Drosophila melanogaster: one gene and its partner. Changing the gene in region 1 together with any one later gene gives a genetic interaction. Each region holds a gene or a part of one and is shown in the gene's direction. Other genes may lie near its edges.

What was found.
Region 2: of bigmax (region 1) and Pepck1, changing one suppresses a phenotype caused by changing the other (phenotypic suppression), as found in Drosophila melanogaster (one study listed by BioGRID).

The regions. Positions count from the first base shown.
Region 1 is NT_033777.3:27,285,698-27,292,584, reverse strand, and holds bigmax (bigmax), read left to right. Parts: upstream 1-4,058; 5' UTR 4,059-4,115; coding exon 4,116-4,257; intron 4,258-4,399; coding exon 4,400-4,800; intron 4,801-4,865; coding exon 4,866-5,087; 3' UTR 5,088-5,219; downstream 5,220-6,887. Other genes in the region: CG3348 (uncharacterized protein), read left to right, coding at 629-925; Hmu (hemomucin), read right to left, coding at 1,452-2,568, 2,905-3,205, 3,265-3,470, 3,540-3,655; CG3368 (uncharacterized protein), read right to left, coding at 5,270-6,499, 6,558-6,887.
Region 2 is NT_033778.4:18,533,179-18,541,721, forward strand, and holds Pepck1 (phosphoenolpyruvate carboxykinase 1), read left to right. Parts: upstream 1-3,588; 5' UTR 3,589-3,614; coding exon of another isoform or gene 3,615-3,698; 5' UTR 3,699-3,859; coding exon 3,860-3,891; intron 3,892-4,055; coding exon 4,056-5,967; 3' UTR 5,968-6,238; downstream 6,239-8,543. Other genes in the region: Pepck2 (phosphoenolpyruvate carboxykinase 2), read left to right, coding at 1-1,375; CG45087 (uncharacterized protein), read left to right, coding at 3,615-3,698. UniProt on the Drosophila melanogaster protein: Catalyzes the conversion of oxaloacetate (OAA) to phosphoenolpyruvate (PEP), the rate-limiting step in the metabolic pathway that produces glucose from lactate and other precursors derived from the citric acid cycle.

The DNA.
Region 1 (6,887 bases):
AAATATGTTTGCGCTCGTTTTATGTGCGAAATTTACGGCATACCGACAGTCTGCGCTGGGAGTATTCCCCCGGCCACGACGACGACACGTGACCACGACCGGGCATCGGGTGGCCTGGCGGTCTTAGCCACCCAGAGACCGACCCGCACCCACCCTTTGGGACGCCTCAAGATCAAGGCGATTCAGTGCAAATTCTTGGACCTCATACATAGATACAAAGTGCTCGTTGCCCGACAACGAAAAAGCGTTGGAATCGGATCGGGAATCGGCCCTCGAACCAGAGTCTAGCAACGCTATCTATGACCAAAGCAGCGGACGGCGGCGTCGACGTCGTCCGACGAAATGGTATTTAAGCGGGAAATGATTCGGTATGACAAATCAGAAGTGAAATAACTCAGCAACAGCGAGCAACAGGCTGCTAGCCGTTAAAAATAACTAACGACCAAGAAATAGCACAAGGTAAGCGAAAAGGGAGAGTTTAATTCAGTAAAATATGTGGGGCAAATGCCTTTGCCAAGAATTATAGTAAATTTATGCGACGATCACGCTCTGACATCGTGGACTAATGCCCAGTTCCGGTTTTGATTTCAGAATTCCCCAAAAAACCGAACCCAATCACTTGAACAAAATGCCTACCGCATCAGCACATCTGCCCATTCAGAAGCGCCGGCCGCATGAGCACAATGGCGAGCCCAGCTGCCAGGGTCTAGATGAGGTGAACCGCATGTTCCGGAATTACTGGGATCCCACGGCCTACTGGGTGTGCGATAAGCAGGGCACACGGGCTCGTCTCCAGCGCTGTCCGCAGTCGCAGCTCTACTCCGAGGAACTCGGCCGTTGCGTCCACTATGCCGATTGGGCCTGGACGGATCCCAAGGAGCCGGCTGGCCGAGCCAAGATCAGTCAATCGGTGTCCACAAATTAGTGATATCTTACGGCTAAACTTAATTTAATGCTAGTCTAAGACAACCAACCTCATTAGGCTTACGTCTATTTTTACAAAATACCTTTATTTTTAATGAAAATAAGAAAAAAAATCAGTACAAAATCAAAAGTTGCTCGAGTTTAACAATTTTGGGGCATTGTTTACTATTAACTTAGCTACATGGAATGCACTTCCGGTTGTAAAAAGGAATGGAATGTTTATAGTGCCTAAGCAAAACAGAATTATATGTTAGTCTACAACATATAAAGCGTTGCCCGTCGAGGATCATATGAGCAAGGCCCTCGGCTAGTCTGAATTTAGCTACCTTTCGACTAAAATTAACTGGTTTCGACAGCCTGAGTTGGGGCATGATAAATAAGAAACCTTTGAAAATTCCCCAAAAGTGGTTGAGATGTTGGAGGGAAAAAGATAATAATCCTAATAGGTTTTGACTGCGTGAAGAAACTAATCTCGCGTCCGGGAATATGCCCGATTAACTCAGGAGGAAGCTGATGCGTCTGCGATCTTAAAGCTCCACATTGACGCCTTGCTTGTTGATGACCTTGAGCTTCTCCTTCTTGGGTGGCTGTGTGTCCGAGGGGATATCCTCCTCAACGGGCGCGGGTTTCTCAGGCACTGTGCGCTTGACCTTCGGTTTAGAAGGCTCTGGAGTAGGAGTAGTAGGAGTAGTAGTAGTAGTTGGCTTAGGAGTAGTGGTGGTTGTTGTAGTCGTAGATGGCTTAGCTGTCGGCGGCTTAGTAGTTGTTGGCTTCGGCGTGGTTGTCGTAGTGGTGGTAGTGGTCGTTGGCTTCTTGGTTGTCGTTGTGGTAGTGGGCTTTGGCGTGGTTGTAGTAGTTGTCGTCTTGGTAGTGGGTTTCGGCGTGGTAGTTGTCGTTGTGGTAGTGGGTTTCGGAGTGGTGGTGCTAGGAGCCGCCTTGGGTTTAGGAGTGGCTTTGCTGGGTGGCACACCAATGGACGCCTCCAAGCCCTCGCCCTCGACGCGAACATTGCGCACCTTCAGCGTGGGCTGCTTGGCCTTTGGCGACTTGACACGCGCCAGGTACTGATTGGTGGGGGAGCCCAAGAACAAGAAGTCCTGGAACTCCAGGACGTGTGATACCGTGGCGGCCGACTTGTCGAAGCCATGCAGCGAGCCCACAATGTTGCCGTTCCAGTCCACACGCACGACAGTCGTTCGCTTGGGCGCCAGCACAGTGATGCTCTCCATGTGTCCCACGAAGTGAACGAATCGCTGCGAGAACTTGTTCGGATATACGCTGTTCAAGTAGCGGAAGGGCAGCTCGAACAAAGCCAGCATGCGGGCCAGGAACAGGCGCACGCTGGGGAAGCGAGTGAACAGGGTGAAGCCGTTGGGATGCTCGCTATCCGCGCTCTGGACCAATGGCACCCAGATGCCCTCGGCGTCGGGTGTCAGGTTATCGGGCAAACCGGGCAGTCCGTCGACGAACACCTCGCTCTGACCGGCCTTCGCTCCCTTCAGGTGATACTTTGTCAGACGCATCGCTCCGGTTTCGGCTACCACGATGAAGTCCTCGTTGGGACTGAGGGCCAATCCATTGGCGAAAGCCAGTTCGTCCAGCAGCACCTCGCTAACATTCTTCGAGCGATTGTATTTGAAGAGACTGGAACGTAGAAGAAAGCAAAGGCCGTTAGAGTAACCATAAGACCAGATCGAGAAACCGGTTTGCGTTCGTCTTACAGTCATACTTCTGTAACTTGTCCCTTAATTATAAGAATTAAGCTAACTTCAGTAAGCGTGGACTCTTAATTGAGATTAATTAAGTGACTCCCTCGATTCCTCCGCTACAAACATTTGAAATAATCTTAAATGGGTCACAAAACACGTTTTATAAAGAAATACATTGTAATGGGGTCCCACTGTAGCCCTATTCCGAATAGCTATCACTTTGAATTCTAGCAATATTAGACAGTGTCGCTATAATTTGCGATGAACTCACCGGCCGGAGGGGTTAGCAAAGCTGGCAAAGACGAGGTCTTCGATGGTGAAGTCCGACGAGGAGTCCGTCCAGTAGACGTCGCCCTCTTTGCTCACGGTCACGCCGTTGAAAATCTTGGCAGGGCGGTTGATGGACTTGCCGGCAAGCTCCTGGGCGGGCGAGACCAGCAGAGTCTTCTTATTGGTGCCCAGGTCCACCTGCCACAGGCCGTAGTAGGCGTCGGCGATGATGAGGTTGTTGCCCTGCGTATCAAAGGCCAGTCCCAGCGGACGGCCGCACCGGGACTCCTCGTAGATGTCCTCTGCAAGGGGATTACTATTATAAAATGAAATTCCCTTTATAGGACTCGAAAATACGCACCGCAGGGCTGGCCGATCTTGGTGACATGCGTGACATGGTTGGACGTTAGCTTGATGACCTCACCGCCGTGGATGCCGGTGTAGATCTCGTTGTTGCGGGCTATCAGGCACTCCGGGCCGTAGACCCGCCCCTCCAGCAGTCGCTCCGCTCCCTCCAGGTGAAAGTTCGATTCCAGCGCACCCTTCAGGTCTTTGGGCGGGGTCACACTGTACGAAGTGGCGATTTCTCCAAGGATTAACACGGGAATTACGTCAATTGAAACGGGCGGCACTTACATATAGTCCTTGAAGGGGAAGGTGGTGCGCGGCGGCAGACCGGGCATTAGGATGATGAGGAGGAAGAAAATCATGAAGTTCATGATCCTCACGCGCAGCGCATATAGCAGGCCCATGATTGATTCCTTGTGCGTCCGCCGATCACAAATTACAGCCCAAAAACCCGCTAAATTTAAGCAATAACCCCGAAGAAAGCGACACGACGGCAAAGTTCAACAAGAAAAAAACGTAAAAGTCATCATCCGGACCGGTAGAGGTGGCCGAAATATCGATATGACTATCATTCGTTGATTGAACGTACCACATCTTACACTCTGCTACAAAAATTAATTGTATGCAGTTTCTAAAAACTATGTTATTAGGGATGCAAATTATAACAAGCATAGTTGGTTGAATAACATCATAATTAAAGTACCTGTTAGCCTGGTACCTGATAACTGTTTTAAAAATTCCTTAAAACTATCGCACAATGTTGAATGTGACCATCAGATACCGAAGGCTTTTCGCGCTACCTTGCGACAGTCACACCGCTGCTAGTGTTTTTGTTTTGGGAATTCCAAAACGTCGCAGTTGACGATGAGCGATAATAACAACGCGTTGGCCACCAAGGAAGACGTTTTCGGCATGGAGCACGACCAGGACCACACCAGCAAGCACTACTCGCGGTGCAGCAGTGCGGGCAGCACGCACACTCCGAACTCCTCGGCGCACAATTCAGGTGGGCGAACGCTGGTCAAGATCGGTCACGCTGATCGGTCAAGAGTGCGGGGCGGGGGCAGCTGATAAAGCAGTGGCATTGAATTACTCGCTATCAGCAGCATTTTATTACATTGTACTCATGTTTCGGTTCTGTATCGCAGACGACGACGACGATAGCGGCGATGCGCGCCATTCCGCGGCCGCCAATTCCACGCTGAGTTACAAGGAGCGGAGAAGGGAGGCGCACACCCAGGCGGAGCAGAAGCGGCGCGATGCCATTAAGAAGGGCTACGACAGTCTGCAGGAGCTGGTGCCGCGCTGCCAGCCCAACGACTCCTCCGGCTACAAGCTCAGCAAGGCTCTGATCCTGCAGAAGTCCATCGAATACATTGGCTACCTTAACCAGCAGAAACTCAAGCAGGAGGACGAGGGATCGGCGCTACAAAAGGAGGTAACAGCGTTACGGATCATTAAGAACGGCTATGAGAACATGCTACAGCATCAGCAGGCGAATCCAGGGCCGGAGGAGGCACGACTCACCGATGAGGCCAAGTTTCAAGTGGTAAGTATGGAGCGCTTACCTCTATTATAACCTCTAGAATCGCCACCCACCACCCTCCTCCGTAGTTCCAGGCCATTATGGAGGAAATGTTCGAGACATTTCAACACATACCCATGGAGAACTTTAAGCAGCTGACCACCGGCATTATCCCCTGGCTGGAGGAGCACTGCAAGCCGCACATCCTGCGCAACATACTCAGTCGTACCTTGCAGCAAATGGCGCAGGAGGCTATGGAAAAACAGGAACTTCAGGCCATGGAGCAGGAGTCGAGCGAGGGTTTCAGCTGATCGCGCGGTTAGTTCATATTCTCATTGGTTATTTTAGAAATCCCTGTTTGGTAGATACTTTCGTTACGTTTACTGCGTACAAACATTAAATGCGTCATTTGAATAGTTGTAAAAGCGTTGACAAGGAAAGATAACTTTTTGGCTTAATGATTAAAGATTAGATAAAACTAGATTTGCTAATGCTAGCCGAGAGACTCGACGAGAGCCGCTTTATCCGCACTACCCAGCTGGCCTAGCAGTTCCAGCAGCACATTCCGTGTGTACGGCTTGAAGCGACGAACTCGCTCAGTGACATCCAGCGCGGTGAGCAGCGCTTCAAGGAATCCCTCCAGACGTCCCGCGCTCCACACATGACGTGCTTCGTGCTTTAGTTTCAGCACGCCCGATGTCAGCGTGTAAATCAGTCCCTCGTAGAAGTTCTCCTCCTCCAGATTCGCGGCCAACTTGGCGCTGGCCAGCAGCGCCGCCGGCAGATCGCAGCGGAATTCGTGCGACCGCACAAAGCAGGTGGCCGCCAGTTGGCGGACCTGATCACATTTGTGCCGCAACAAATGCCAACTGAGTCGGCGGAAGCGAATGAGCAGGGGATTTGGCTCTTTCCCGCCCGACGTACGCAAGTGCTCGACCTTGGACAAGAAGGCCAGAAAGAGTATGATGGATGACGTGACCTCCTGGCGATCACAGCACCTCAGCATGTGCTCGCAAGCCTTGGGCAGCAAGCAGCCCAATTCGTCGTAGTCCAGCTCACTGGGTTCCCAGGCGGGTCGTGTGTCAAACTCTGTAGCTTGGCGCTGGCCGACCAGCTTGCCCAGATTGGCGCCAAAGAGTTGAAGTGCCGCATTCGAAATGGTCCATTCGGGGTTGGTGATGTGCTCCATGGCCACCAGCAGAATCTCATTGTAGTACTTGCTCATAGCTGGCCTCAGTTCTGTGTCGCGCACAAGAACGCAAAGGTAATGCAGTACCAATGCCTCCCAGCGATCGTGATTGCTATCGAGACAAACAGTCTCCGCGGTTTGGTTTTCATTTAGCCTCTTAAGAATCTGCTGCACAGCGCGATGGAGCAGCAGCCGCTGTCGTGGATTATCGTTCTTCAGCACGTGAAGGAACATTATGGCGAAGCCGGCACCACGTCGTGTGGTGCTCACTTGACGGCTTTCAGTCAGCAGCTCTCGCTCTAGGCAGTCGTGAAGCATTTGGAATCCCGAATCGCAGCTGTCTAAGCTACTGGTGATGGCACGGGTAAGTCTGCCAATGCTCAAGCCGGCCGCCTCTATGGCTCCTTTGTGCCGGCAAAGCGTCAAAACGGAAACATTAATATTGAGGCAACGACGCAGAGTCTCGGTGTTAACTGTTTTGGCAGACGTTTGCAATTGGTAACACCCAATGCTGGTGGCCAGATCGCAACAGCCCTGCAGAAGGATAAACAAATGATAAGTTTATCAAGAGTTAAGAAATATATCTACGCACCTTCAACGTTAACCAGAAGCTCATCAGTAAGTACTTTCGACAAGCCTCTTCCTCCCCATCACACTTGAAGGAGCTTTCGCTGACCAGCAGCTGGAGACTCTCGTCCATGTCCTGGAAACTGGCTGCTGTGGCTGCCTCTTCCTGTCGCCGGGCGTTGGCCACATTGAGGAACTTGAGAATGCCGCTGAGAATTCTCTCTAGCAATGGCAACAAATCCTCCAGAGGCGTCTCCACTGCCAAGCCAGCCTTGACCACCTCGTCCAAGGCGCAAAGATAGCCAAAGAGATGTCCTCCGCTCTTGGCGGTCTGCAAAGGATCTTCGAAGAAGGG
Region 2 (8,543 bases), on another chromosome or scaffold:
ATACGTCGTCGAGTCCATGAAGATCATGACTAGGGCGGGCAATCCAGTGCTTAATTATCTGCAATCTGGGGATGGTCAGTTTGTCAAGTGCCTGCATTCCGTGGGTACGCCCAAAAGTGGTGTCCAGGCAATGCCATCCTGGCCCTGCGATCCCGAACGCACTATTGTGCTGCACAAGCCAGCAGAAAATGAGATTGTATCTTATGGATCTGGGTATGGTGGTAACTCCCTGCTGGGCAAGAAGTGCCTCGCTCTGAGGATTGGCAGCACCATTGCCAAACGAGAGGGCTGGCTGGCCGAGCACATGTTGATACTGGGCATCACCAATCCGCAAGGTAAGAAGATCTACATAGCTGCCGCCTTTCCATCAGCTTGCGGTAAGACCAACCTGGCGATGATGACTCCTACCCTGCCTGGCTACAAAGTGGAGTGCGTGGGCGATGACATCGCCTGGATGAAGTTCGATAACAAGGGTGTGCTGCGAGCGATTAATCCGGAGAATGGATTCTTTGGCGTGGCGCCCGGAACGTCGAGGGCCACCAATCCCATAGCCATGGATACGATCTTCCGAAACTCTGTCTTTACGAACGTGGCCTCTACATCCGATGGAGGTGTCTACTGGGAGGGAATGGAAAAGGATCAGCTGAAGGGGGTGACTGTCACGGACTGGTTGGGTAAACTCTGGTCCCAGGAATCCGGAAAGCCAGCTGCCCATCCCAACTCCAGGTTCTGTACACCCGCCTCTCAGTGTCCCATTATTGATCCCGCCTGGGAGGATAGCGAAGGAGTGCCCATCTCCGCAATTCTTTTCGGAGGTCGTCGTCCCAGTGGAGTTCCCTTGGTTTACGAGGCTCGAGACTGGAAGCACGGCGTATTTATTGGAGCTGCTATGAGGAGCGAGGCCACGGCAGCCGCTGAGTTCAAGGGCAAGGTCATCATGCACGATCCCTTCGCCATGAGACCCTTTTTCGGCTACAACTTCGGCGACTATCTGGGTCACTGGCTAAGCATGGAGCAGCGTGGCCAGGTGCCCAAGATCTTTCACGTAAATTGGTTCCGAAAGAGCAGTGAGGGCAAGTTCCTTTGGCCCGGATTCGGGGAGAACTCACGAGTCCTGGACTGGATCTTCCGGCGGGTGGAGGGCGAGCAGTGCTTCGAGGACTCTCCCATTGGCCGCCTGCCCAGCAAGAATTCATTGAACTTGGATAGTTTGGAAAACATTGATCTCGACCAGCTTTTCGATCTGCCAAAAGATTTCTGGGAGCAGGAGGTGGCTGCCATAGAGAGGTACTTCGAGGAGCAGGTGGGCCACCATCTGCCAGGTGCCGTGGCCGAGGAGCTGAGGGAGCTGAAGGCGCGTGTTGCTGACATGTGATGTGTGTGTTCCATAGGTTACTTCCTAATCTAAGACCCCTTATTGCCTAAAATAAAACGAAACGAACGAGATTTTTATAGTGAAATTTGACTTGTGCCCATTCGAGAATGGAATTGGGATCGAAATTGGGTTTGGGGCGTGGCCTAGACGGGGCTTATCAGTGGTCGCCTCGGCGGAGGCCCGTCCGCAATTGGCGTAAACAAGCGTATAAATCCATAATGCCGTTTAACCTAACTTATCAACAGATCCACGCGATGAAAAACAAGCAAATAAATGCCAGAAAAAGCCAAAAAGAAAGTAAAGTTTATGGGTGAACCTTTGCAATTTTCGGTGGGTTTCCAAGGACTGATTACTAAATTCAAAGCGTGTGGTGTGATGTACACTATGGGGTGAACAGCGATAAAAAGCCAATAAGCCAAGAAACCAAAAGGCAAAATAGCTAAGAAATCGAATCCCTTAAAATAGTTCATGGGCAATGTAAAGATCCTCATAGTGATGTTTTCCCTCGGAAAGTTTTCCTGGTCGACAGCACAAATCCGGGTCTGATCTATATTTAGACGAACTCAGAGGCTCGTCCACTGATAACCCGCCCGGCTCCCTCCTCCCCATTGCCTTCTTCTCAACCAATCGCATTATTGATTATGCATATATTTAGCGAATCGATCGTCTATTGACGTAAATTCCAAATAAGCCCGAATCATCGAAATGCGCCAAGTGGCGGTTAGGTGAGAACAGGAGCGAAGCAGTTAGAGTCTGAGTCCAAGTCCAAGTCTGGGTCCAGCAATTAATGCCGATGATGAAGATTATCAGGCCCAACTAGAAAAACAAGTCCATAGTTATAAATAAACCAATCGAAAATCACGGCAACGCGTGTAGACGAATTCGATTTAATTCGCAACTGGACTTTTCGTAAAGGGAGTCAAAAATGGGGACGGGGACTGTAAGAGGGGGGAGCCAAGGACCAAGGACAACCATCTGATCAGGTTTCTCCAAGGACGTTGGACGCCAGTCTCTTCTGGGTCTAGGCTAAGTGAGCGGCTTATTATAATTATTTAAAACAATTTTAATAAAAATTATATTTGGCCTATTTGTTATGAAGTTGAATTAAGCTTGAAGTTTTAAATTAGAGTTGGCAAGCGTTTTAATTTAACATTATAAATAACACTGCTACCAAATAAATGTTTACGCAACCAATGAAAAACAGAGCCATATTTACGTGCAACTTTCCCGACTGCTTCTGTTGAACTTTTTCTTCGAGTACCCAGAGGATTCTGGGTCTTCTGGTAAACTGGATTCGGGGTACAAAGTCACACCACCGGCAGCACCTTCATTTCTCCTTCCCCAAAGACAAAAACAAGAGTGGCCACATGACAACCATCCGGGCCATGCTATTCTTGGTGCGCCCCCAGAGTCACATGAATGTGAATACTGGCCTCCAAGGCGGCCATGGCCAATTGGGGAGGCCCCCGGCTCATCTGGATGCCGCGAGGGGGGCGGATTAGCATACAAATTTTCCGTCACCGATTCTACAAATAAGCGAAAGTTTTTTTCGATTTGGCAAATGTCCAAAAACGAGAGGCCAACACATGTGGTCAAACAGGCGTAAGTGGGCGGGCGCGTGTGATGTGGCCCACCATTCGATGTTGCACCAATGTAGCTATATTTGTGGCCAATGCAGCTATAGACACATCCAGAATTTACCCAGCTGCAGGGGACAACAACTGCTGTTGCCTCAGCTGTCCGTGAACTGGTTTCTATATTCGCAGCGGCCACATTTGTATCGCATAAAATCATAAATAGAATAATTAAATTAACAGCGCGAAAGTGGCAAATATCAGGGTGTTCAAAATAACAACAAACGCTTATCAATGCAAACGCACTAGAAAACGCTCTCAGCGCCACATGAAAACAACACTCTGCTGTTGCCATGTGGGGACATACCCCATATACGTATCTGTATGCCCATGCCCCCCATTCCGTAGACCCCCCCCCCCCACCCACAACCAACTCATCGTAGCTGCGCCGCCTGTGAAAAACCAAAACAATCGCCGAGCCTCCGCCGGCAGCCAATCAGCTCGTCCGGAGTTTGACCCTCTCACTCGGCGAGGCGATCGTAAAACCCGATTTGCGTGGCGATCGGCCGACTTGTTCTAGTCGCCTCGATGGCCAGGCGTCGCCGGCTGGGTATAAAAGGCCCCGGATCGGAGCAGTTGGCATCAGTTACTCGTGGCCAGAGTAAATGGAAAGATCAAGTGAAAAGCCTACTTTCAGTGGTCTGAAAATCAAGTTGATGTTTGACAAAAAACTGTGGAAGAACATATGAACGCAAAGTCCTCGACAGTAGAACACTAATTGTGATAATTACTCAAATTGTGATAAGCGAATTAAGCAAAGTGCCAAAAACCCTTTCACGCGCAGAAAAATCTAATAAAAATATTCCAAACTTTTTTTCGAGAAAAATTCATAAAAAACAACACAAACAAAATGCCTGAGCTCATTGAACAAAGCAAAATTATGTAAGTATACATTAAAGAGGTCACTCGAAACGCATTCAATGGGGGATTTTAATGGCAATTAATTTTTAATGCAGTCCATTATTTGGGGTCCCACTATCGAAGTCAGTTAATTAAATTGCAATTTTAATAACCCACTTCCCTTTTATCTCTCTCTTTCTCTTTAGCTCCGGCAATGTCTGCGGTCTGCCCCAGTTGCACAAGCTGCGCCAGGACAATTGCGGTCTGTACAGCCACATCCGTGGCATTCCCATCTCCTATGGAAATGTGGATTTGCTGACCACCGGTGTCCGTGCCTTCGTGGAGGAGGGCATCGCCCTCTGCCAGCCCGACCAGGTGCACATCTGCGATGGCAGCGAGCAGGAGAACAAGGTGCTCATCAAGAGCCTCTTGGAGGCTGGCACCATTGTGCCGCTGCCCAAGTACGACAATTGCTGGCTGGCCCGCACCAATCCGGCGGATGTGGCCCGCGTCGAGTCGCGCACTTTCATCTGCACCGAGCGGCGGGAGGAGACGATTCCCACTCCAGTGGAGGGTGTCAAGGGAACCCTGGGCAACTGGATCTCGCCCAGCGACATGGATGCTGCAGTGCAGCAGCGATTCCCCGGCTGCATGAAGGGTCGCACCATGTACGTGGTGCCCTTCAGCATGGGTCCTGTGGGCTCCCCGCTCTCTAAGATCGGAATCGAACTGACGGACTCTGCTTACGTGGTGGCCTCCATGAGGATCATGACACGCATGGGAGCCGCTGTCTTGCGCCAGCTGGCCAAGAAGGAGGAATTCGTCCGCGCCCTACACTCTGTGGGCGCCCCTGCCAACGGACAGGTGGAGCAGCCATCCTGGCCTTGTGATCCCGAACGCACCATCATCCTGCACAAGCCCGCCGAGAACCTTATTGTGTCTTACGGATCGGGCTACGGCGGCAACTCGCTGCTGGGCAAGAAGTGCTTCGCCCTGAGGATTGGCAGCACCATTGCCAAGCAGGAGGGCTGGCTGGCCGAGCACATGTTGATTCTGGGCATCACCGATCCCAAGGGCGAGAAGAAGTACATCACTGCCGCCTTTCCCTCGGCCTGTGGCAAGACCAATCTGGCCATGCTGAATCCCTCGTTGGCCAACTACAAGGTGGAATGCGTGGGCGACGACATTGCGTGGATGAAGTTTGACTCGCAGGGAGTGCTGCGTGCCATCAACCCAGAGAATGGATTCTTTGGTGTGGCTCCAGGAACCTCAATGGAGACCAATCCCATTGCCATGAACACTGTTTTCAAGAACACCATCTTCACGAACGTGGCCTCCACCTCTGATGGCGGTGTGTTCTGGGAGGGCATGGAAAGCAGTCTGGCTCCCAATGTCCAAATCACTGACTGGTTGGGCAAACCCTGGACCAAGGATTCCGGCAAGCCCGCTGCGCATCCCAACTCCCGCTTCTGCACTCCAGCCGCCCAGTGCCCGATTATCGATGAAGCCTGGGAAGATCCGGCGGGAGTGCCCATCTCCGCCATGCTCTTCGGAGGACGTCGTCCCGCCGGAGTGCCCCTAATCTATGAGGCTCGGGACTGGACCCACGGAGTCTTCATTGGAGCAGCCATGAGGAGTGAGGCCACTGCTGCGGCCGAGCACAAGGGCAAGGTGATCATGCACGATCCGTTCGCCATGAGGCCCTTCTTTGGCTACAACTTTGGCGACTACGTGGCCCACTGGCTGAGCATGGAGAAGCGTGGTCAGGTGCCAAAGATCTTCCACGTCAACTGGTTCCGCAAGAGTGCCGAGGGCAAGTTCATGTGGCCCGGATACGGAGAGAACTCCCGTGTGCTGGAATGGATCCTGCGCAGGGTCAATGGCGAATCCTGCTACGTGGACTCGGCCATTGGACACATTCCCGCCGAGGGTGCCCTAAACCTCGATGGCATGAAGGATAAGGTGGACGTGAAGGAGATCTTCTCGCTGCCCAAGGAGTTCTGGTCGCAGGAGGTCAAGGATATTCGCACCTACTTCGAGTCACAGGTGGGCGCCGATCTTCCGGCCAGCATTTACCAGCAGCTGGACGAGCTATCTTCCCGCGTAGACAACCTGTAAGAAGGATCAATGAGGAGAGTCCCATCTACAGCATCTTTACCTGCCCACACACCTGCTCACCCACTGTGCTATCCCGTACTGACCCCATCACCAACCCAATTTGTTAACCTGTCCTAAATACCTGTCCCCAATACCTTATTTAGTCGTTTCTCTAGTTCTTAAGCCGAAGACTTCCAAACTATTTATTATATAAGCAGCCATAAGATTAGCAAGTAGGCCATACAAACAGAGAAAATTAAAAAAAAAATAAAACAACACGATTTTATAACCTACATCCTATATGAGTATTTATTTATCACAAACTTGGATTTTTGAATGTTGTGAACATTCTAAACAGTATATATACAATAGTTAATATACTAATAAATGCTTTATAGCTGCATGATTTATTTATTAACGCTTCAAACAATCAGTTAAATAGATAAACAAGTTTTAATACGTTTTAGGATTTTTAAATGATTGCTAAATAAATTTCAAATGTTATAATTATAAAATGTGACACTTGTAACTAGTCTTGCTCTTGTTTCATAACTAAGACTTTTAATATTTTTCAAAATCCTAATTTATGGTGTTAATTTGCCAAGATTATAGAAATAAATTAAGTTAAATTTTTCCCACTTGCCTTATATAAGATGAAACCGCTAGATGATTTCCCAATCATCTCCTGCAACGGCTATCCACTGCATTCGCTAGCTTTCCTCGGCTCCATTTTCCAGCCCAATGGAAGGCCGCGAAAAGCTCAACAGTCGGAGCTTTTCCAGCACTTCGGATTCACAGGAATCGGGAGCCAGGAAAAAGGCAGCCAAGAATCGGTGGGCACCACAGTTCAGCTCGAGCAGCCGCCGCCGCAGCTTCGACCGGGCGGAAGTTCGTGAGAGCGGCAGTCGCCAGCGGAAACGGAAGTGCAGAAAGCCCCGAGCGGCTGGCCGTGCAAACTGTTGCTCGTCGGTGTGTGTTGTGCTATTTGTGGTGGTGTTTGTGCTAGTGAATGTGATGGTGATGGTGTACCAGTATCGGTGTGCTGATGTTTGTCGCGGTGGCATTGTTGGTGTTGAACAATTAGCCAAGTTGCTATAACAGACCGAATTATCCGACAAATTTGATGAAAATGGTAAACATTAAACTGTAATGCGGCACGCGGAGTAAAAGTGAGTTTCCCTCTGTCTTAGTGGGTGTGTTTAAATGAGCGCGGGATCTGTGTGTGTGTGTGTGTGTTTGTACGGCACTTTGTAAGCTGCGATTTGACATGTTGATTTATGCGCTGCTCTCACTTTGCCCCCGAACGGCAATTGCCCACCCAACCCCGTCCCCTAAGCACCCAGCCCCCAGCTGGGATTACTCGTGTCCTGTGTCTCTTTCAACGGCACTTCGTCCTTTTTGTAAAGACCTCTCCTTCAGCGGCACTTGTTGCGCTCACAGGACATTCGCTTAATTGCTAATCCTCGCGCCCAGACGCGTCTAATTACACGTAAGTTTGCGCCATTTCTGTCTATCTAACGACGTCACTTTGTGCCCACCCGCCGGCCGTTTAAAGTGCAAATTGGCAGGCGCCTGGGGCATCAAATGTGGATTGCGCGCTTGGGTGGCGAGGTGGTGAGGGGGCTGGGGTGTTTGAAAAGCGGCCCGGAGGTCACTTAATATGCCATCAACATGAGATTTGCACAAATGGCCCCGGCCTCAAGAATTATGTGCTGCAATAAAATCGATGCGTGGGCGGAGCTTCGGGACTCAAGTGGCGGCTAATGACCAACTTGCGACGTGACTTTGGCCAGGATTTGTAATTTGCGAACTGACCAGCCCAGAACCAGCAACACCCCCCTTCCACCATCAGCCGTATACATACTCGTACTCCTAGATCTTAAGTGTTTTATGGACTTTCCCTGTTTGTGTTGTGCACACACTCAGTTTATTTTTACAGCAGAGACAGGGGGTGAAAGTGCCCCGTCGGCATGGGTGGCTGGGCCGGAAGGTGGGGACAGTTGGGGTCTGAATAGTAGGCTGGGTGGGTGGTGTTAAGTATGCGTTTAACGGGTGCGGGCTTAATTACAAGCAAAGTTTACCAAAGGGTTGTCCCGAGAACTTCTCTATGACGCGATGGAGGCCTGCAATTTAATGACGGTCCGTGCAGGAAGAGTCATTACTCCGGCCACCTTGTACTCGAATGAGAAATGATGATGGCCAGCCGGAGCACCAAGGGCGCTAAAGGAAGAGCCGCAGACGGAAAACGGAAAGCGAAGAGTAGAAAAGCGGAAAAGCAAAGAGGTGCCAGTGCAGGCGGACCCGAAGCCATAAACCTGATTGAAGCCCAGCCCACGCATTGGCATTTGTATATGCAAATGGGGCTTAACCCCATTCAAATTATCCACACATCGCTCCCTGCCATGCATAAGTTATGGGCTCAGGTAGCGCAACTCGGTTTAAAGTCAATGGAATCCATCAATAATTCCATCTGCTGCCAGAACCAAGGGCTCACATTTCCTTTAGAATTCAGAAATCTGTAGCAATTATTATCTTACACAAGCTTACCTTTTCTCGGCAACCCATCCGGGCATCAGGACCCTGGTGTAATACAATAA